Linked DNA regions of Astyanax mexicanus. The protein of the gene in region 1 binds, or shares a complex with, the protein of each later gene. Links are inferred from orthologs where the notes say so. Each region holds a gene or a part of one and is shown on either strand. Other genes may lie near its edges.

Region 1 (7,674 bases):
CAGACCTGGAATCTATAAGGTGAGAGAAGGAAGACGTTAATTCACTGACATGAGCAAAAATCATAAGATCAAAAGACCAGAAAACTTAGATCTCAGGTATTCAGCAGGGCTGAAATGACCTCCTAATCATTTTTTGTAAAAAAAATTGCTTAATAACTGTACAATTAATGTATATATAATAAATGTTTTGTTTAAATCCTCTCAAGCTTTATTTTAGTAAAAAGATTCAGGGTCTCTGGTTCTGGGTGAAAACTGGATCTGAAACTGTGAAAACTGAGTGTCTACCTCTACATTTAATTTATTTTCCATAATTCACATCACATGATGATATAAACATAATAAATAAGAGGGCTTACCGTGGGCATGCCTTTGTCATCTCCACCAGGTATGTTGGGCTTATTCAACATGATTCCAGTCTGAGGGGAAAAAAACACTTGTGATAAAGCGCATTCATATCCAGCAAGGACAGAACGAAACTTTATGGGTAGTGTAGGGCGAGCGCTCAGAAGCAGGGCCAGTAACCATGGCAACAAGGAGGTACAGTTTATCCGACACCGTTTATTTACACACCAACACTAATATTTACAAATTTACAGGCGTACGTACTTGACGAGAAAAGAAAACGAAAAGTAAACAAACACAAAATAATCTCTTCACGCAGAGAATAAGGTCTATCTCCTATACAGTCGTATAGAGCTTCTTTTCATGGCTGATATCCCGAACTATCTGCCCCCCCCTTACTCATAGATCCAGTACACCTTTTATACCATTAACCCCTCCCATGAACATACCATTTCTCACACGGGTAGAACCGGGTAATGATACACCAAGTACATGGTACTATGATATAATAAGAACAACAATATTAATAATAATAATAATAATAATAGTAGCAAACTCTAATCAGTTTGTAAGTGCTGAAATCTGTACGAGTTTCAATGTACATATAAAATACACATTCACATTTCTTCCCTTTCTTTTACAGGTACACACTCCCCCTCTCTTCTGCAAGGATGGACTCACCCAGGTAAGTAAAAGGTTTTGAGTTACGTGTAGTACCCTTTTGTCTCAACAGGCTGAGCATGAGTGTACACAGGTAAGTGATATAGTCTTTATGGTGATGAAGAGGGGTATAGCCTACTTCATCACAACACTCAAGCTCAAAATAACAGTGGAAAAAAAAAGGTACAAACAGTGAAACCAAATTATTTACTTTACAAGTCTCTTACCTGCATCATGTAATTTTTCAACCTGTCTATTAACTCTTCTCTAGGGCCTGAGAAAAAAGAATAAACAGAAAATACTGTATTAAACAACTGCACTGTTTTGTTTGCCATGCATTACTCTCATATGCATACATTACACACAGGAAATTCAACAAATGTGAATAATAATTGTGACTTCTCTAATTGCACAACTTTACATTGTACTTCACTCTATTGTACATTTAGCATTTCGCAAAACATCAAGCTTACCTCTAACATTACATGTTCACATTGTACTTTCTACTTTCTGTATTTTATTGATTTACAGTTATATTCTGTGTATTTTTTTTTGGTAACTAAGCTCATTATTTAAACTTATCTCTCAGTAGTAAGAGAGCTTCTACTCTAAAAACTCCAGATCACAACAGAACAGATGACACACTTAAACTATTTTTCGTAAAATGATTTGTATGCATTCTAATTTTAGTGATTTGCTGGAGATTTTAAACAACATAAGGAGTCTCTGCTGGACTAGACAAATATCCATATCAAATATCCAATCAACAGCACCATGTGGACACTGATGAAGGACTCAAGGATGACCTAACAGTGCATCAACAGATTTAGAGCCTCCGTCTCTGATTTTACGTCTACAAGGTGGAAGAACTAGGTAGGAGTTCCTAATAGACTGAACAGTGTTTAAAAACGTCAGCAGCACTGCTGTTTCGGACCAATTGTAGCAGACCTGTGGAGTCCTGACCATTTGAATAAACAGGGTAAAAGGAAGACAGTGAAGTCTACAGAGAAACAGATACAGGACTCTACTATGTAATTATTAGTGTACATATTGCACCTTTATGCTTAGTGTAGCTGATAAGATAAAAACACATTTATTGAAGATTACATGAATATATTTATTAGCTCTGTGGCAGGATCTCCTCCACCAGTCTTACACACTGCTTTTGGGTAATTTTTTGCCACTCCTGGTGCAAAAAATCAATCAGTTCAGCTTGGTTTGATGGCTTATGATTACCCATTTTCCTTCCTTATATTCCAGGGGCTTTCAATTTAGTAAAATCAAAGAAAATCATCATTTTCAAATTGTCTGATTTTCCAGAGCTGTATGCAGTATTGACACATAGACCAACTGACTTGTATTGATAAACACATGTCTGACATTTATACACAAGAATAAGAAAGTAGTCATGAAATAAGAGGTTTAGCAATATGACGGGCTTGGGTTGTGTGCGTTTTACTTAGGACACAACATTTACCACAACAGCTAACAGTTAGCTAGCTAACTAGTTTCCCAGTTCATTGATAGCTACAGAACCAACATGGCGCAGCTACACGCAACTTTACTCGTTTTAAATCAGTTTAACGTGCTAATAAACTCGATTAAACAGCCTTAATATCTTTACACACATCATGAGAACCCGCTCGCAGCAATGACCCACAATAAACACTAAACACCAAGCTAATAACTAAGTTACTGTTTCAAACAACCGGCATCAGAAGCAGTTAGCTTAGCTTCCAGATTAGCATGCGTGCTAATTAGCTTAGCTTAGTTTAGTTTAGCTGTCTCCCCCGGCCCGCTGCAGACGCCTCTCCCCGGGTTAACTCACCCATTACCGGCGCCCCGATCTCCGCCAGCTTGGCCTGTAGCTCAGCGTGGCTCCATGTGTTGAGCGCCGCGGCGGAGGCGCCCAGCTCCGGGCTGGTCTCGGCTCCCGGGGGTCCGTCGCTAGACATTTTCACACAACCGCGTTCAACAGCACCGCCGCGCAGACTCGACGCAGCAGGCACTGCGCATGCGTGCTTGAATAAAGGCCGGCGGGCCACTGCGCAGAAGCGTTGATCTATATCTCATGTACACCTCAGAGTTTGTGGTTCGGAGTGTTTATAGATCAGCGCATCCGCTCTACAGAGCTGTGTCCCACCGGAACAGGACAGCAGGATTTTAAAACTGTGCACATGCGTTCCCACTCATACAGTAGCCCAGTGTAAACACGCTGAACACACAAGAACAAGAGCAGAACATTATACAGGGTCATAGAAAAGTGTGATCATTTATTCAGTGCCTTTGTAGCAAAATTTCATTCAATTATACACAACCATAGTACATTTTAATACATTCACCGTGGCATAGTATATATTAGTAAATTCTACAGTAGTAATTTATAGTAAGTTCTGCAGTGCTACATTATATTTTAGTAAATTATTCAGTGATATTTTAGTAAATTATGCAGTGCTACATTAGATTTTAGTAAATTCTGCAGTGCCATGGTAAATTTTATTAAATGATACAGTACCATAGTACATTTTAGTAAGTTCTACAGTGCAACAGTACATTTTAGTAACTTCTACAGTGCTATAGTACATTATAGTAAATTCTACAGCACAGTAGTACATTTTTAGTAAGTTCTACAGTGCGATAGTATATTTTAGTAAATTCTCCACAGTGCTGTAGTACATTTAAGTAAATTCTACGGTGCCATAGTTCATTTAAGTTAGTAGTTTTAATTATAGTAAATGTTAGTTTATTCTACAGTGACATTAATGTAGTATTTTTTTAAAATGACGTAGTACATTCTGTTACTATTACATTAATAAAATTCTGTTGCATCGCTGCAGTAAATTCGCATAATATGTGCATTGGCGTATTGAAGCCAGAAGGAGGTAGCATTTTAACGATTTTACTCAGATGTAGCACTGAATAAAGTATAGAACTGAGAGCAGATTACTAATCTATAATATTTTATTCAGTACTATTCTATAACAACTATACTATTTAATTAAATTTATAACTTTTTATGTTATTCTATTCTAAAAAAAAATCTTACGATATTACTATTTCATTGTATTCTGTACTATACAATTCTATAATACACTGTAAATTACTTTAGTATATATCACATATAAAGCTATTGAAATGTATTCCGCCCTTTTAAGAAAAAGCCCTTTGACATCATAACCTTTATACTATTTTATTTTCAGTAAGAAGAAACTCTTTCTGCTGCACGTTCATAAAATGAATAATAATTTCACTGAATATTCCTCATATTGTCTCAAAAATATGTCTTAGAAAAATTATTTATATGAAAATTTTCTTTTTGTAGTTGTATTAATTTAGGTTTAGGTAATTAATCATTTCATATTTTTTTTTCATTACATACTGTTTTGTTCTATATTGTGTGATGCTATACAATATCTATATTTATATCTATATCAATATTTAACGCTCATCGTGTGAATTCAGGATGGAATGGATGGATTTACACAGTGATGGATTGCCTTTACACTGGGGCACGTCTCCCTTGTATGTCTTATAGGATTAATAGTTATTAAGGTTATTGGTCTTATTTAACTATAATTTCTTCTATTTACGTAGTAGTAACATACTATTCAAATAACTGTATCTTCATTATAATTAACATAATTTGATGTAATGTTTATATTAGTGGATATGGGTCTGAAGTTTTTAAGTTTTGAACAGACATGAAAATAAAGGAAACATGTGTCACAGCCCATTTCATCTACCAGCCAATCACGGAATAGGGGGCGGGGTGTATCGGAATGCGGTTGTTGGAGGGCGGGGCGTGCCTAAATGCAGTGGTCGAAGGGCGGGGCGTGCCTGAATACGGGTGTGGGAGGGCGGGGCGTGCCTGAATACGGGTGTGGGAGGGCGGGGCGTGCCTGAAAACAGGTGGGTTCAGCGTTGTTTCTGATGGTAGCAAATCTTTAGGAAGGTCCTCTGCCCTCAGTACAGATGGGGGCATGAACCAGCGCTGAACATTTCTATACAAAAACGCCTTTAATTCACCGAAGTGCTCCGAGGAAAGGCAGGTAAGCAGTTTATCTAACAGTGTCCGTGTTTTTATGGGAAGTTTGTGGACAGGGAGTCTGGTTTAGCGTGTTTTCAGTGAGAGCGTGCTGATTAGCTGCTCTGAAAGTAATGCTGCAGCTAACCTAACCTAAACTAACATAGTGTTTTTTTGCTTTCTGAGCTGGATATAGTAAATATAGGCTTATTTATTGGCGTGTTTTGGTCCTTTTATCTATTAACATGAGTTTTCTGAAGCTAATCTTATGTTTGTTTGTTAAGCTAGTTATTGTTTAGACTAGAGCTTTTTAAGTGTAGAGTTGTAATAATAATAATAATAATAATATTTTTGTTTGTTATGGATTTTTTGTTTTGTTTTAATAAGCTATGCAGCTTTTTATCCAGTCTAAAAACTTGCACATCTTTAAGAGCTTTATCTCTGTTTAAATGTGTTTTTTTTTTTTTTTTGAGCGTGAGCTCTTGTGGTCTCTATAAAGGAAGTGAAGAAAACACTGCCTCTGTTTTGAGCATGTCTTTAACTCAGGCCCTGCCACATCCATGCCGCCTTTATCTCTGCCCGGCAGGCCTGACTCTCAGAGATATGGACATTTAAACACCGTATGAAACCGCTGTAATGCTGCCAGAGCAGACAAATACTATATTAGTGTATTAGTGGCCTGATTGGCCTCAACACAATACAATAAACACATTAGTCAAGGCACCACCCTTCTCCTGTACATGCTTCAGTGCCCCACAGTTGCAACATGACCTCTTTACACACTGTTTATCTCTTTATATATTGGTTTATCTCTCTATATATCTGTTTATCTCTCTATAAATATATTTTAATTTCATAGTTTTCAGGATTGGTAGGAAGTACGCCTATGTGGTGTTTCCTTATGAACTAGCTAACCTGGAACAGTTGGTGTCAGTGTATGTAAAAGGTGTAGAGGAACTCCTGCCTTTACCTCATACTCTCTAATCTTATTGCTGGGGAGTTCCCTCAGTTTAAGAATCAGTTTTCTCAATTTAACAATCCATTCCATAACGTTACATTTATTAAATCATTGTCTCACTTTATATGGAATTGATTTAGGTATACTTAAGGAACAGTTTATTTAAATGAGTAAACTGATTTCTTAAATAGAAGTAATGATTAATAAAATGTCAGGATCTGTCAACTCCTTAAAATTATGTTTCCTGCTTGATATTTTCAGCCATTACTCATTGCACATTATTACAAAAGAATGTGACCTCCTCATTAGGGGATTAGAGAATTTGCTTTAGGCCATGTTACATTTAGAATATTGAACATTTGAACAATTAGGGATAAGGAAGCTTCATGCTGGTCCAGGGGATTAAACTGGTTACAATAAAATAGCTAATTAAGTAGGTAAATATGCTTGGTTACCCAAATAATAATGTCATTCCATAAAGTCAGACCTCCCCCTTAAACCTTTAGGTCATTTGCTGCAAATAAATAGTATATTTATTGTTATTGTGATATAAGTTTTAACAGACCTATTAAAAGAACTGCTACAATATCGCAAATAACAGCAAATCCAAATAGTATTACCTGCATGCAGCCGCAGAGGGATGTTTTAGTGCAGTACAGACTGTGCTCGTGTGACATAACAAGGCTGGAGGTAGAGTGGGGTCTATAATGAACACACACACACCACACTACATCTTAGCCTGGAAAAAAATAATGCAGCTACCAAGGGTGGGCGATATGGCTCTAAAATAATATCACAATATTTCATGGTATTTTCACGATAATGATACTTTTGGCGATATGTCAAAACACTGAATTAGAAAAATTATTTACAATTTTATTACTGCATGCAATATGATATGGCTAACTGAGATATAAAAAAAAAGAATTTTATCAGATTTGTTACAGAATGATTCAGAATGTCATGATACTAATAATGCACTCCAAATATCTCCATATATCCAGGATTAAAGTTATATGATCTGTCTCTAGTAGATAAATAATGGGAAATGAGAACAGTGTAAATTTTTCTTTTGGTAAAAACGGCAAAAAAGTAGTACTCTGTTGTGATAATTAGGGGTGAGTGATATGGCACGATATTTCAGGGTATAATATCGTTCACGATATTCAAACTTTTTGCGATATTATCACGTACGATACGATATGGCACACCCCTAGCAGCTACGCCAAGTACCAAAACTTAAACTAATATAGGATCTTTATTTGTCGTGCTTCACATCAATAATCTTATATCCAATAGCATTAGCATGCAATACGTTTTTCCCTTACTGTACACCATAATTTTTCAAATTCCAAAAGACTGCAAATGTCAGTAGTTAAGATGTAAACAAAAGAAAAAAGATTGGTTCATTGTAGTACAATGGTACAGTAAAGTATTTGTATAGCAGTGGTAATAAGAAGCACAGGGGTTGCAATAAATAAAACACAAACAATAAAACATTTAAACTGTGAACATGAGTTTTCTGAGCTTTTATAATATAGGGTTAATCAGATCTGTCAACCCTGCTTTCTAATAAAGTCAATAGGTTTCATTGTCATTACATCTGAAAACAAGTGCACAGTGCAATGGAATTACGATCATTTAGATATTCATGTACATAACCAACATTCCTGTAATGTGCCAGTATTGG
Region 2 (7,301 bases), on another chromosome or scaffold:
CCTGACAAAGAAGAAAATTTATAACATGTACATTACTAACATAGTATTTGTTTCACTGCCCACTGTCCCACAGGCACTGGCTAGAGTGCAAGAAAGTCCTCCAGGACATTTAGACTCCGGCTGTTGATCACAAAGCAGCATTATCTGTGACTTGAGCATCTTAGTCTGCAGAGCCAGTGAAAGTTGGATTGACGTTTAACAACCAAACCTTGCATTTATTAAATTGGGGAAGCTATTTTTTAAATTGAGAATGAAGTGTACTACTACAGACACATTTAAACATAAAGGAATGTCAAAGAGGTAAAAAGACTAAATATGCTAGACTTACCTTCCATGCACAGCTGAGTGAAGTTTCTGCAGGCTTTGGGAGCTTCTTTTGACCACAGCTCCACATCAATATCACCTGCAGAGGTCTTAATTAAAACCTTTAAGAAAAATAAAATGGAGACAGTTTTAAAAATTGTCTCAGATTGCTAATCTCCCCTGATAGCAAAGAACATTGAAGAAACGTTACTTTTTTTTGGTTGCATAAAATGGCTGAGCGATAGGAGGCTCTTAAGGTATCAGGATCAGATTTCTAGCATTGTTGAACAGGTCTCAAAGCCTGGAGCTGGATAAGTTTAAACTGGCAACACAAATTGATTTAAGTAATTAATGACAAAACTTGTGATTATCATAAACTAAATGGACATTACCTCAATAATATTTAATTGTTGTAAAATCTATTGTGTTCTATTATGTGAATATGTGTTCACATATATTACATAACTTAACAGTGAACAGTATTTTACCTAGTCATGCTAAATGACCAATGTTTTAAAAATTGAGACTCCACACAGTACAAACATTGTTGACTGCAGTAACTTAGGTAAAAACAAAGTATAGCTATACATCCTGAACTATGATTAATTACAAATTTTGTCTTTAAAAATATGGAAACGCTTTGTTATGCTATTCTATTATCATTATGTCAGTTTAAATGGCCTGTGATGTGATTAGGACATTCATAGTTGAAATTATGTTGGGGTTTTTTTAAATAATGTTTTGTAATATCGTCAAAAAATATAGCAAAAACACCCTGAGCACCCTATCGTGATATTATTTTAGGGCCATATCGCCAAGCCTTAATGCTGAATATTTATGTTTTGCTAGCTAACTTAACCCAGTAACTAACTAGAGTTACAGTACAGTGCAGTTTTTTGAGACAGTCAGTGAGTCAGAAACACACACTAAAGGGCGGTGTTTGGGAAATAACCTTGTTTGTTCGTCATATTATTTATTTTTTATATTTAAAGAAACAAAACTCAGTGAACTAAGGCTAGGTTAGGTTAGTTAGCTCCCTGGCTACGCACCTTGCCACTAGTCGGAGGCTCCTGGATGTATATGTTGCTCATGTTTGAAGCAGTATTAGTAGGACGCCAGCTACCGTACTGAAAAAAAAAACGATAATAAACGGCAAAAAACTCGCATAAACATAAAATATCACTCTAATAAATCCTGTACACCGCCGCCAGCTTAGACTTCTCCTTCTTTAACATCCTGACTGGGGGAAAAACACTGCTAACCGCACTGCTGCCACCTAAAGCTAGCGAACCAACCTACAGTTCAGAGGCCCAAGATAGTTATGCCAGAGAATCTCTATAATAGAAAGGTTTGTTTAACCACCAGAGGGCGCACCCAAGTGAGTTTACTGTAGAAAATATAAAATATACAGGTGAGTTCTATATATTTTATTAGCAAAATACACTATTCCGACTTCCAAAATTAAAGGAATGTACCGGAGATGTATATATATATATATATATATATATATATATATATATATATATATATATATATATATATAAAATTACCTTACTATTTTTATTTTGAGTTGTAGCGGTTTAGCTCCATTCACCCCCATTTATTTTGATCTCACTCGCGGGTGCCCTCTAGCGATTCACAGTCATTTTCTGATAGAAATTATAGGAAGTGGGTAGGCTCTCCAACAAATCTTTTAATATTAAAAACGAACAAAATATCACATTTTAAAACCATTGTTATCATTACACATCAAAGACTGGTCAAGAATACCATCATAACCACCTCCTTGTTTCTACATACATTACCCACGGGACACAACAACTGGTAGACTTATTTCAGTCCAGCAGTGACATTGAGAAGTTTAAAAATAAGGGTTCATTTATAACCTGATTTACGTTAACTGATTAAGACTACTTTAAATGCTACTTAAAAGCTAATTGAAACACTACTGTGTTTTTAAAAGAGCCTGACCTTGAGGGACTGACACAGTTAGTGTTTTTGTGTGCCTGTCTTCAACTCCTCACTTATGTATTAGGGATTCACTTAAACTGAGAGTACACTAATGTGGTGCATATCTGAATAAACAAAAGTGTGTATGTGCTTGTTTAGACCTCTGGTGGCAAACTACAAAACGCTAACAACCATACAAACCTTACATGTGGGTCATTATAGGGAGAAAAATATAATGAGTATAATGCTGGGTCAGGCTTTTTACCATAATATTCGCCTCCTATTAGGATGCACATCTTCCACTTTCTCTTATATAATAAGCTCAAATGCCTGGAGCACAGAGTTAGAATACTTAATCTAACATGTTAATAATAGTTTAAATATAGTTGCTGACTAAAGGCAATCTGTACTATACGTGCATTATTATACATATATCAGGCATTATTATTGCCTATTGCAGTGCTAACTGAACCTAATGCACTGATAACAGACTAATACAAGTAAAATGTATGACATTATCAGGTAAATTGATAACATAGATAACAGCCTAATGTCAGTATCAGAGCCAAAGGGAATATTGAATAAACGCCTGTGTGTAAGTTCCCCGGCTTTCAGCGGGTGGCGGTAATGCTCACCGTAAGCTACTAGAGGAAGAAGAAGGAGAAGAGCCTGGTGTGTGTTGTTGTGTTTTGAGGACGAGCTGCATTTTTTTCACATTAAAATCTCTATACTCAGCTGAAATGGCTGTTCCAGGTATGTAAAACTAGCTACAGATCTGACTAGCTTAGATTAGCTGGTTTACCCCGTTTGTTCCTGTTTTGGCGGGAAGCGCGCGCCCGGAACATTCTGGAACAGTACTAGGTTAGCTTAGCTTAGCTTAGCTTAGCTAGGCTTACAGTAGCAGCTCCTATACAAAACTATATGTAGCTAAGATAACTATTAACTAACTAACTAGCTGAGCTAAGCTAGTTAACCTAACTACTGATGCTAGTTAGCGCACTAGTTTTGATCATATTTATTAAATACATATATGAATGTTGCACGGTGTCATTTAAACGTTGCCTTGTTAAAAAATCCCTTTTAGTTAAATAGCTAGGTTATCTTAAATAGCTTTTGTTCTCACAGCAACTATGTAAAGCTAGGTTAGCTAGATAACTAGCCAGCTCACTAGTTAGTTAACGTTACCATATTCAGCAAAAAAAACGTTAAATAAACGTTCACTATTTCATCGCTAGTGCGTATATACAGCTCTGGAGAGACCACTTCCGTTTCTGAATCAGTTTCTCTGATTTTGCTATTTATAGGTATATGTTTGAGCAAAATTATTCTATAAACTACAGACAACATTGCTTCCAAATAAAATGCAAAGAAATTATTAAATAATGCAAAGAAAACAAGTTTATATTCATAAAGTTTTAAGAGTTCAGAAATCAATATTTGGTGGAATAACACTGGTTTTTAATCACATTTTTCATGCACAGTCTTACACACTGCTTTTGTTTAACTTAATGCCACTCCTGCTGCAAAAAAGTCAAGCAGTTTCGCAGTTGGGGTTGGATCAGTTTCGCTTGGTTTGATGGCTTGCGATCATCCATCTTGCGTTTTCAATTTGGTAAAATTAAAGAAACTCATCATTTTTAAGTGGTCTTTCTCCAGAGCTGTACATATACTAGTGCATCAAAATAAAAATTTCAATGAAAAGTTACTATATTTCTGTAATTTAGTTCAAAATTTAAAGCTCATATATAATATAGATGTATTGATGATTATGGCTTGCATCCAATGAAAACCCCAACAGTCAATATCTTAGAAAATTAAAATATTATAAAAGACCAATTGGTACTTTTGGCAATGTGGGCAGTGTGCCAAGTCCTGCTGGATAATGAAATCTGCATCTCCATAAAAGTTATGAGCAGAGGGAAGCATGAAGTGCTGTAAGATTTTCTGGGAAAACACTGCACTGACTTTGGACTTGGATAATAAAACACAGTGGACCAACACCAGCAGATGACATGACTCTCCAAACCATCACTGATCATCAGTAAATTTTGCATTTCATTTTGGAAAACAAGGGACCAGAGTCTGGAGGAAGAGTGAAGAGACACACAGTCTTGAGATCTACTGTGACATTTCCACAATCAGTAATGGTTTGGAGAGGCATGTCATCTGCTGGTGTTGGTCTACTGTCAAACAAGTTATAAAGTCCAAAGATATTCTGGACAATTAAACAATTGTGGTGTATTAAAACTTTTGACTAGTACTGCATATCTTTACTAATGGGTTTATAATTGTTTTTTAAACAGGTGTTAATAAGGATAATATTCGAGCTGGATGTAAAAGATGTGGCTATCGTAAGTATTGAGAATGATCCGTTTGGATCATATTTACTTTGTATTCAGCTTTTAATTAGCATTATTACTGTAATTCTTTATTGTTGCAAAACAAATGATTTCCTTACTTTGCCAGCGGGTCACCTGACGTTCGAGTGTCGTAACTTTGTGCGAGTGGACCCCAGGAAGGACATCGTTTTGGACGTTAGCAGCACAAGCACTGAAGAGAGCGAGGAAGAAGAGCAGGCGGCTGTCAGCAAGGAGAAGATCTTTGGGAGCAATTCTAAAGGTTTGGGCATTATTTGATAATTAGTTTGATCTGCTTAACTATAACTTTTTTCTAGATTTGCAATCACTGATGGCTATAGTGTTAATTATTTCTGGACTCTAAAATGGAAAGTGTAGAAAATGACAGGAATGCTGATAATCAGAGTTTGATATTTGCTTCCTCTGCAGGTTCTCAGGAGGACTCAAAAAAGGAAAAGCACAAAAAGAAAAGTAAAGAAAGATCCCACCGTAAAGCAAAAAAGAGGTACAATCTGCAAAACTTCCAAACACACATTTTTTATTATTTAAATGCATATCTGGAGAAGTATGCCATTTTATATTACTGATACAGCTGTTACAGTATTGTATACAGCATAAAGTGTTGACTGATATTATTATATTACTGATAATAACATACTGATGTTAACAGAAAAATGTTGCATATTGTTGCTGTAAAATACATTTATAGAAGGTTAAATTCAATGTGTTGTAAGCAAAGCTGAAACTGTAATTTGTATTTATAATAGTAACAATAGGAAATATGAAAATATCATAGATTGTGTTTTTATATCAATAAACATTTATTTTAAAGTGCAAATAAAGTAAAGCAAAAATATAAAGTGGTACCATTTTAAATGTGGAAAAAAAAATAACTGGACTGGATGCCACATATTTTTCTTTTTTTTTTTATCCTCTCAGAGGTTAATGGACAGTTAATGGATAACCATTTACCTTAAGTGGTCAGTTAGGGTGCATCTCTGAAGCTGACCTTGAGTTGCTGAGATGTTTTTAAAGAAATTATTTTAGGACTAGTTTTGAAATTTGTGGGATTTGATTTGATCTCATTAAATTTTTACTTCATTTAATAAAAGCAATGTGTATATAACTATATAATTATAATATACAATTCACATTAGGTATACATTCTCAGTGTCAATAGGGGCTTTAATTGTGAATTGTGGAAGATATTTTAGCTGTACATACTCTAATAAGTAAAATTCACTGCAAAATATTTACACTGTTGTGCCAAAAAAAATGAGAGAGCAGTATGTAAACTACCATAACATATTCTTAACATTCTTAAAATCAGTAAATATATATATTTCTATTATTACAAGTAAAATTATACATTTTTATAAGTAATTTGCTGACATGACCCTGTCGCACAAGAATCGTTTATCTGAAATTATAAAAATGTTTAAAAATATATAAAAAGAACATTTTTAATAATATATTTTGCCTTAAATAAAAAATAACAATAGAAAGTTTTTTTGTCATTTATGTTTTATTAATTTCTTATTACTTTGATTCAGGTCTTATTCATCTAGTGATGATGATGATGAGGAGGAGGAGGAAGAGGAGAGCAAAAAAAAGAAAAAGCACAAGAGCCATAAGAAGAAAGGCAAAAAGGAAAAAAAAGAGAAAGAGAAAAGACGTATGAAAAAGAGCAAGAAGAAACTTAAACAGACCTCCTCATCCAGCAGCTCCAGCGGATCTTCAGACACAGACTGAGATGTTAATGTTGTTATTTTTGATGTCGGCTCACCAGGACCAGCATTTCTTATGAACGTAAAGGCTCAGACATTTGCGGCAGATTTTAATTAAAATAATTATGATCTGAAATACCCAAAGACTAGGGGAGTTTCAGAGCCGTGTATAGATATGTTACTGTTTAAGCAGTGAATCTTTCTCCTGACATTGGTAGCTATGTTCTCTTATGGAGGTTTATTGTGCTGGTGGAAAGGTAACCTTTCTTAGTGTATTTTTGATGCAATTATGATTTTGTACAGAAAGTAAATAAAAACATGTGGCTGTTACTTTTCTATAATGTGAACTTATGTTTGTTTATTCTTATAAGTGTAGAATCATATTTATAAGTGCTCATTTGGCAGTGGTCTATTTTTATATAAATTATTGGTTACACTGTCTCCACTGTTTCCATTGGAAGTGCTACATTCAGACTGTATCCGTAAACTTTTATATAATGTGCACAAATACAGATTAAATTAATGCAATATATGGACAATAGGCTCCATCCATATCCACATCCACATTTAACATTGAGCGAAAATGAGCATAAATACAGATGGAGGCTTTTATCTGTACTGTGCTTTAATTTTATCGTTTTTTTTACATGTTCTCTAAAAGCTTACAGACACAGAATAAAAGCTATGTTACCTAATCAAGAGTTTATTAAGTCTTTTAAGAGTTTATTAAGAGTTTAAGTCTGCAATTTCCAGTTTGCCTCTTCTATTTTTTTGTGGAAAACACAATCATTACCTCAGATATTTTTTACTGCCTTCTAGGTTATTTATAATTGGCTAAGCATTAATGCCTACCTTTATTTAAATTAACAACTTACTTTTTAAGAGAAATAAGAATATGAACAAGTAAATTCACCAAAACCCACAAATCCTCAGTCAAAATGGTAAATTTACCAAAAAAAAAACC
Region 3 (6,879 bases), on another chromosome or scaffold:
CACAATTAGAACAGTCACAATGCTAAGGTAAATGCTGAGGTAAATGCTGAGGTAAATGTATAAATAAAAGAGCACTGCTGAGGTAAATCCATGATTAGAATAGCACTGCTGAGGTAAATCCATGATTAGAATAGTGCTGCTCAGGTAAATGTATGATTAAAAAGAAAGAAGCTTTGCTGAGGTAAATTCATGATTAGAATAAAAATATTTTTTGTACACTGGAATATTTACTATTTCAGGTTCCAGACTATACATAAAGAGATTAAATGACAAAGATAAAGTGGAAAAATTATACATTTTACCTGTAGTGTATATTCAAAGAATATTGAGATTTCATTTTAATTTCTGAGGTAAATGTATGATTAGAATAGCCCTGAATGATAATGTTTTGTGTGCAATAAACATTTTTAAATTGTATATCTGCAGTTGTTTTTTCTTTTTGAAAAGCAAGACAAACATAAATGTATACTATTTAAATTTTTAATGGTATATAAAGATAATTTATTAAGTTTGTACTGTGAATAAAAAACTTAGATATGACTCACAGGAGCTAAAATACACTTTTCTTTTAGAGCTTACGCTCTTAAATTTTTAAACACTTCTTAAGTGGAACAGATGGAACACTTACTGCAACCTGAAACTCCAAAATAAACTACTTTATCAAATAAAACGTTCCGAAATAAAACAGGAAGAGAAGGCTAAGCTAAATAAATCATGTTAAAGCCAGTGTCAGAAGGTGTCTGAAATATTAAAAATGGATTATGGATTTTTTTATTTACGTTCTGATTCTGAAAGTACCTTTTAGGTCACATTTAATCTCAAGATCATAGAATGATAAGACTACATATATCCCTAGATACAATACTACAGTGTATAATTAGTGTGTTAGTGTGTACAGTGTATTTCGCCCCACCCCTATAGACATTTATTTTTGCTTTTTTTTTTATCATACTTACATTTTTCAGATTATTAAACAAACTTCAAAAACAGAAAGACCTGGGTAAACATAAAAAAAAGCCTTTTTTACTATTTCTTGTAATAAGGGAAAACAACATTTATCCAAACCAACCTAGCCATAGCTACAATGAAAATCACTAAAATAGAACATATCTGAAAACATAAGGAAGATAAAAGATCTAAAAAATCAGCACATTATTATTCTCCCATCTGAAGAAATTCAACATCAGATGAGAAAAAGTTACTGATCATCTTTCAGTCTGGAAAAGGTTATAAAGTCATTTCTAAAGCTTTGAGACTCCAGAGAACCACAGTGATTCACTATTATTCACTAATGGAGAAAAAACAAATGGAACACTGGTGAACCTTCCCAGGAGTGACCGGCCGACCCAAATTACTGCAAAGGGCATGAAGAACTCATCCAGGAGGTCCATAAAAGAACCCAGAACAACATTTAAAGAACTGCAGGATCTCACTAAAGCCTCAGTTAAGATCAGTGTTAATGATTTAATAATAAGAAATAAATAATAAAAAAAAAAACACTGCTGACCAAAAACAGAGAAATACAACCACCCGTCTCACATTTACCAACTAACATCCTGATGATCTCCAGCTGCTTTTTATATTTACTTAGGTTATATTTGTTTGATATTGAAGTTTGTTTGAGAATATGAAAAATATAAGTATGACAAAAAAAGCAATGACAAAAGAAATCTATAAGGAGCAAATATATTTTTTACGGCACTATAATAGTGTAGTGTGTATTAGTTAATATAGTGAGAGTTAGGTGAGAGTTTGGCGAGAGTTTTATAAACACCACTCTACTGGTAAGTGTAAATAAACACCAAGAGTTTGTGTGTTAGTTTAAAACAGTGAGTATAAGTGTAGAGTATTAGTGTAGTATATTATAGTGAGTATTAGTATAGGTATAGTATTGGTGGTGTTGTAGTGTAATGGTGTAGAATTAGTGTAGTATAGTGAGTATTGGTCTAGTATAGTGAGCATAAGCATAGTAGACTACAGTGAGCATTACTGTAGTATAGTAAGTATCAATGTAGAATATTCTAGTGACTGCTAGTGTAGTATAGTGAGTATTAGTGTAGTATGGTGAGCATTAGTGTAGTACAGTGAATTTTAGTGTATAATAGTTTTCAGAATAGTATAGTGTTAGTCCAGTACAGTGCATATTAGTGTGGTATTAAAGTGTTAGTATAGTATAGTGAGTGTTAAAGTAGTATTACAGTAGTAATACAGTATAGTATTAGTGTAGAATTAGTGAGTTTTAATGTAGTATAGTGAGTGTTCTACAAGTAGTCAGTGTTAGTCCAGTATAGTTAGTATTAGTGTAGTATTATAGAGTGTTAGTGTAGTATAGTTAGTGTTAGTGTAGTATAGTGAGTGTTATTGTAGTAACTAATAGTGTTAGTCTTGTATTACAGTGAGTGTTAGTGTAGTAAAGTGAGTATTACTGTACTATAGTATTTGTTAGTCTAGCACAGTTATTATGAGTGTGGAATAGAGTATCATTATAGTAATTATAGTGAGTATTAGTGTAGTATAGTGAATAGTAATGTAGTATAGTGAGTGTTAGCTCTAAGTTTGGTGCTAAAGTAGGACAGTTGTTTGAACACCATAATTACTGTAAACATCATTACTATTAACTGTAAATAAACACTAAGAGTGTGTTTGTTAGTTAGTATAGGGGGTTTATTAGTGTGTGTGAGCCGCATTTGACCTTAAATCTGCTGTTTAATGATCAATAACCCGATTAATCGATAGTTGTGTAGTATGAGATTAATAACGCGCGCTCCGGGAGTGTGTGTGTACACAGGCCGCTCTCCCGCTCTCTCCCCCCGGTCTGTGTCCCGCGCTCTCCCCGCTCCGGGTCCCGCTCCCCCGCAGCGGTATCTCCGCCGCCCGCTCCCCGGCTCCCGCTCACCTGCTCCGGGCTGCGGGTTAATCCCTCCGCCGCCTCTTTTTCTCCGGACTCCGCCGCCGCCGCCATGTTCGCCTCTTTCCACCACGAGTGGAAGCCGCTACGGGTACCGGAAAGGGACAAACAACAAAAGTGAAAACGCGTTTTAGACGCAGCTTGAAGTCGATGTCAGAAAAAAAGGCGCGACTTCCTGTATGAACACGGTAACGTTGCGACAACGTTTAGACAGTCTATTATTTTGCAGCTTACAACGTTTCCTAAACGATTAAACGTAGAAACTACTGTGTTAAATTTAAACAAATAACAAAATAAGACGTTATTGATATTATCTCAATAAAACACATTATTATTATTACTATTATTATTATTATTATTATTATTATTATTATTATTATCATAAAAAAATCATATAAATCTTCACTTTAACTAACTTTTTCTATGTTATATACGGTTTTATTGGTTGTGGGGGGTGAGTTTGTCTGCAGCACTGCCTGATTACATTACCATGGTCCTTTTAAAATATTATATTGTTAATTTTTTAAACACGTTTTTTTTTTACAATGATTTAGCTATTTTAAATGTTTATTATTAACATTTGACATCATCAGTGACATCACAACCAAGGTATTGTTTTTAGGGGGCAAATACTTTCTCACATATATTTTTTTTCACAAATAAATGAAATTATCGTTCAAAAAAAATATTTTTTTAGTTACTCAGATTATCCTTGTCTGATATTAAAAGATTTTTTTTTATTCTGAAAATGTAAGTATGAAAAAGAACCCAAAACTAAAATGAAATACTTTTTTTACCACACTGTATTTCTTGATTATTGTTTATTGTAAATGCAGTATGCCTACTGAGACATGTGGGAAAGTTTAAGACAGAGGGAAATAACAGGAGTGTGAGAATAGGGAGGAGTGAACCACAGAGTCTACATGGCTCCCCCTTAAACCCTATACTAATTATTTAGCTATTAATACTAATACAGTAAATAACTACTGATATTGTGAATGGTGGAGTTCCACAAGGTTCAACTGTAGGACCTATAGAACTTTAAATATCTGAAGTGTGAAAATAAAGCTTATATGCAGGCTCTACCAGGTACACAAACAAACCTGATCAAGGTTAAAATTTTTAGGTTGAAATCAATACCTTATACATTTTTTTAATATAAATATTTTCTGAGTTGCTTTGAAAATGCATTGCGGACCACAACTGATACCCATATCACTGGTCTATAGTGTTCTGCCCTTTGTGCTCAGCTTGAATGCAGTGAAATAACCATCTATTTTGCTCAGAATAAGTTTTGTGCTTTTTGGATTGGATCACTCTTTTTAAGACCTCCTGAAGTAAACAAGACGTGTAATTGGAGCAGGAATGTCCTGTATACTGCTATATAAGACTTTCCTCTCAGTAATACACCTGTATGTCTTGGTCCTGCAGCCAGACAGAGGCTGTGCCCCTGACGTCCTCCACCAATCAGAGAGTCTCAGCTCTAATTTAACTATCCCGTTGGCAGGACATGCCACACACTGCCCTCTCTGCCCGCTGTGCCCACTCTCTCTCTCTCAGTACAGGAACCAGCGCCACAGGCCCTGCCCCACCACACAGCCACCAGACGGCCGGTAAACACTGTGTGAGAGAAATAATAATGAATAGAAAATAAAAACAACAAAAACAACAAAGCTAAAATTGCTTTACTTACATAATAACAGTTACTGCTGCATATTCAGCCAGAGGTTCAGTTCACATTAAAACCATAAAACTGTTCTTAACACTATCAAACATTTCAGCAACATACACTCATTTATATCAAGGTTTGTGCATGTTTAATGTATTTATTTTAGCTTATTTTTAAAGATAAGATAAGAGAAAACTTTAACTTTAGTGGAACCTTTAGTCTCCTGCTTGATGGCAGCAGCTGAAATGATGAGTAAAGAGGATGGTTATGGTCACAATGCACGATTATAATCACCTGTAAATCACCTGTATTGTGTATTTTTCAGATTTGGGGTTGTGCGTTCATCGCTATCTCGGTAACACAGGCGCCGTGCCGAGCCGAGCGTACACCCCCACTTATTACACACACATGAACACACAGCAGCACAAACCCAACTTTTACATCAACAATAAACAGAATAGTAAATAAAATAACATTGCTGTTCCCGTAAATGAGCTGCTGGAGCTCCTTCACAGCGTCAACCAGCAGCTCAGTTTCCTCTGCTGAGAAGAGTTTGTTGAACACGTCCAGGTAGCTGCACCGTTACAATAGCAATCCACCAAAGACAGAGCTCACCTGATCTACTCTTAAAGAGAATGATGAGCTGAAGAGACTCTCTGATTGGTTTATTAAATTTATTTCACGTTACGCCCAAAATTAACCACACCCATGATTAATACTTTTCCCGTCTTTACAATAGCAAAGACACACTGCCACGCCCTAAATCAAGCTTCATGGTGCACGAATGATGGCACACCTATGGATAAATAGGACCTAAGATCTCATGTGTCTAGAAAAGGAATTAAATTTAGTATTTATCTCTAAGTAGTACAGTAGGGCAGGTTACTGGGCTGGTGAGCTGGCACCGGATGCTGAGGCGGTGTTGGGCGTGTGTGTGGTGTGTGTGGTTCAGGCTGCAGTGTGTGTGGTCCCTGATGGCGGTGTGGACCCGGTGTAACCCAGTTGAAGCCCGGTGCCGGCCTGGGCCGGGTCCAGCTCCATCTGGAGGAGTTTAGTGTGTGATGGGATGCAGCTGCTCACCAGCCACACCACACTAATACTAACACTCCTGCTCCTACTGCGGGAGAGGACGCCCCCTACTGAACATCTGAAGAACAGCTCTGTAAAATAATAAGAGAGCACTTAAAAATGATGAGTTTCTTTGATTTTACCAAATTGAAAACCTCTGGAATATAATCAAGAGGAAGATGGATGATCACAAACCATCAAACCACCAAACTGAACTGCTTGAATTATTACACCAGGAGTAAAGCAGCATAAAGTTATCCAAAAGCAGTGTGTAAGACTGGTGGAGGAGAACATGATGCCAAGATGCATGAAAAAAAAAACTGTGATTAAAAAACAGGGTTATTCCACCAAATATTGATTATTTCTGAACTCTTAAAACTTTATGAATATGAACTTGTTTTCTTTGCATTATTTGAGGTCTGAAAGTTCTGCATCTTTTTTGTTATTTCAGTCATTTCTCATTTTCTGTAAATAAATGCTCTAAATGAGAATATTTTTATTTGTAATTTGGGAGAAATGTTGTCTGTAGTTTATAGAATAAAACAACAATGTTCATTTTACTCAAACAATCTATCTCTCTGTCTCTCTGTCTGTCTGTCTGATTATCTCTGATTAAACTCGGCAGAGTGTGTACAGACTCTTTGCTTACACAATACCGCCCCCTAGTGCTGATCAGAGGCAGTGCGTTACTGCTCTCAACCTGTTTATATTCCAATATATTTGCTTCTTTGGTTCTAGTGCTGTTTTTTTGTGATAAGGGCTAAGCTATCCTTTCATTGGCTCATAAACTTTTTATTTGGCTTGTTTAAAGTCTATTCTGATTAAAAACAGCTCTCGGTTAGTGTTTTGACACTTAAAAAAATAAGAAAATGCATGATGCCCATTGTAATGAAAGCAGGGTCTGAAAGGGTTAAAAAATGGTTTAATGTTTTTTTCTTAGAGTTATAGCCACTTCCTCTATCAGTATTTTAATTTTAAGTGGGAGTGAGTGAGTGTGATTAATTGCTCTTATTCTGTTATGTTGTGTAATAAAAGTGTAACTAACAGTGTTTTATCATTCTGAGATAATCACTCATCTCATCATATCCTCTGTTTCTCTAAAACTCGTTATTAAGCGTAATTGAAGACGTCACCTATTATCGACTCGTCATCCGTCCTGAAGCGATTGAGATTCTTCAGTCTGGTTCATCACTCATCAATCATCATCATCACTCATTACACATCACTCATCAAT

The links. Proteins that work in one complex are often made in the same cells at the same time.
Region 2: sf3b2 (region 1) and cwc27 share a complex: the UniProt entries of both Homo sapiens proteins name them as parts of the minor spliceosome. The link is inferred for Astyanax mexicanus from reciprocal best matches to the Homo sapiens genes SF3B2 and CWC27.
Region 3: sf3b2 (region 1) and cwc22 share a complex: the UniProt entries of both Homo sapiens proteins name them as parts of the minor spliceosome. The link is inferred for Astyanax mexicanus from reciprocal best matches to the Homo sapiens genes SF3B2 and CWC22.

What each region holds. Positions count from the first base shown.
Region 1 is NC_064415.1:13,364,141-13,371,814, reverse strand, and holds the start of sf3b2 (splicing factor 3B subunit 2), read right to left. Parts: upstream 3,012-7,674; 5' UTR 2,958-3,011; coding exon 2,831-2,957; intron 1,277-2,830; coding exon 1,230-1,276; intron 417-1,229; coding exon 357-416; intron 13-356; coding exon 1-12. UniProt on the Homo sapiens protein: Component of the 17S U2 SnRNP complex of the spliceosome, a large ribonucleoprotein complex that removes introns from transcribed pre-mRNAs.
Region 2 is NC_064427.1:22,654,125-22,661,425, reverse strand, and holds the start of cwc27 (spliceosome-associated protein CWC27 homolog), read right to left. Parts: upstream 3,017-7,301; 5' UTR 3,007-3,016; coding exon of another isoform or gene 2,994-3,006; 5' UTR 2,889-2,993; exon of another isoform or gene 2,881-2,888; intron 1,590-2,880; exon of another isoform or gene 1,431-1,589; 5' UTR 1,395-1,430; coding exon 1,353-1,394; intron 426-1,352; coding exon 329-425; intron 2-328; coding exon 1-1. Other genes in the region: protein SREK1IP1, read left to right, coding at 2,994-3,006, 4,557-4,604, 4,720-4,872, 5,040-5,115, 6,164-6,362. UniProt on the Homo sapiens protein: As part of the spliceosome, plays a role in pre-mRNA splicing. Probable inactive PPIase with no peptidyl-prolyl cis-trans isomerase activity. As a component of the minor spliceosome, involved in the splicing of U12-type introns in pre-mRNAs.
Region 3 is NC_064418.1:50,566,558-50,573,436, reverse strand, and holds the start of cwc22 (pre-mRNA-splicing factor CWC22 homolog), read right to left. Parts: upstream 3,017-6,879; 5' UTR 2,963-3,016; coding exon 2,897-2,962; intron 1-2,896. UniProt on the Homo sapiens protein: Required for pre-mRNA splicing as component of the spliceosome. As a component of the minor spliceosome, involved in the splicing of U12-type introns in pre-mRNAs. Promotes exon-junction complex (EJC) assembly.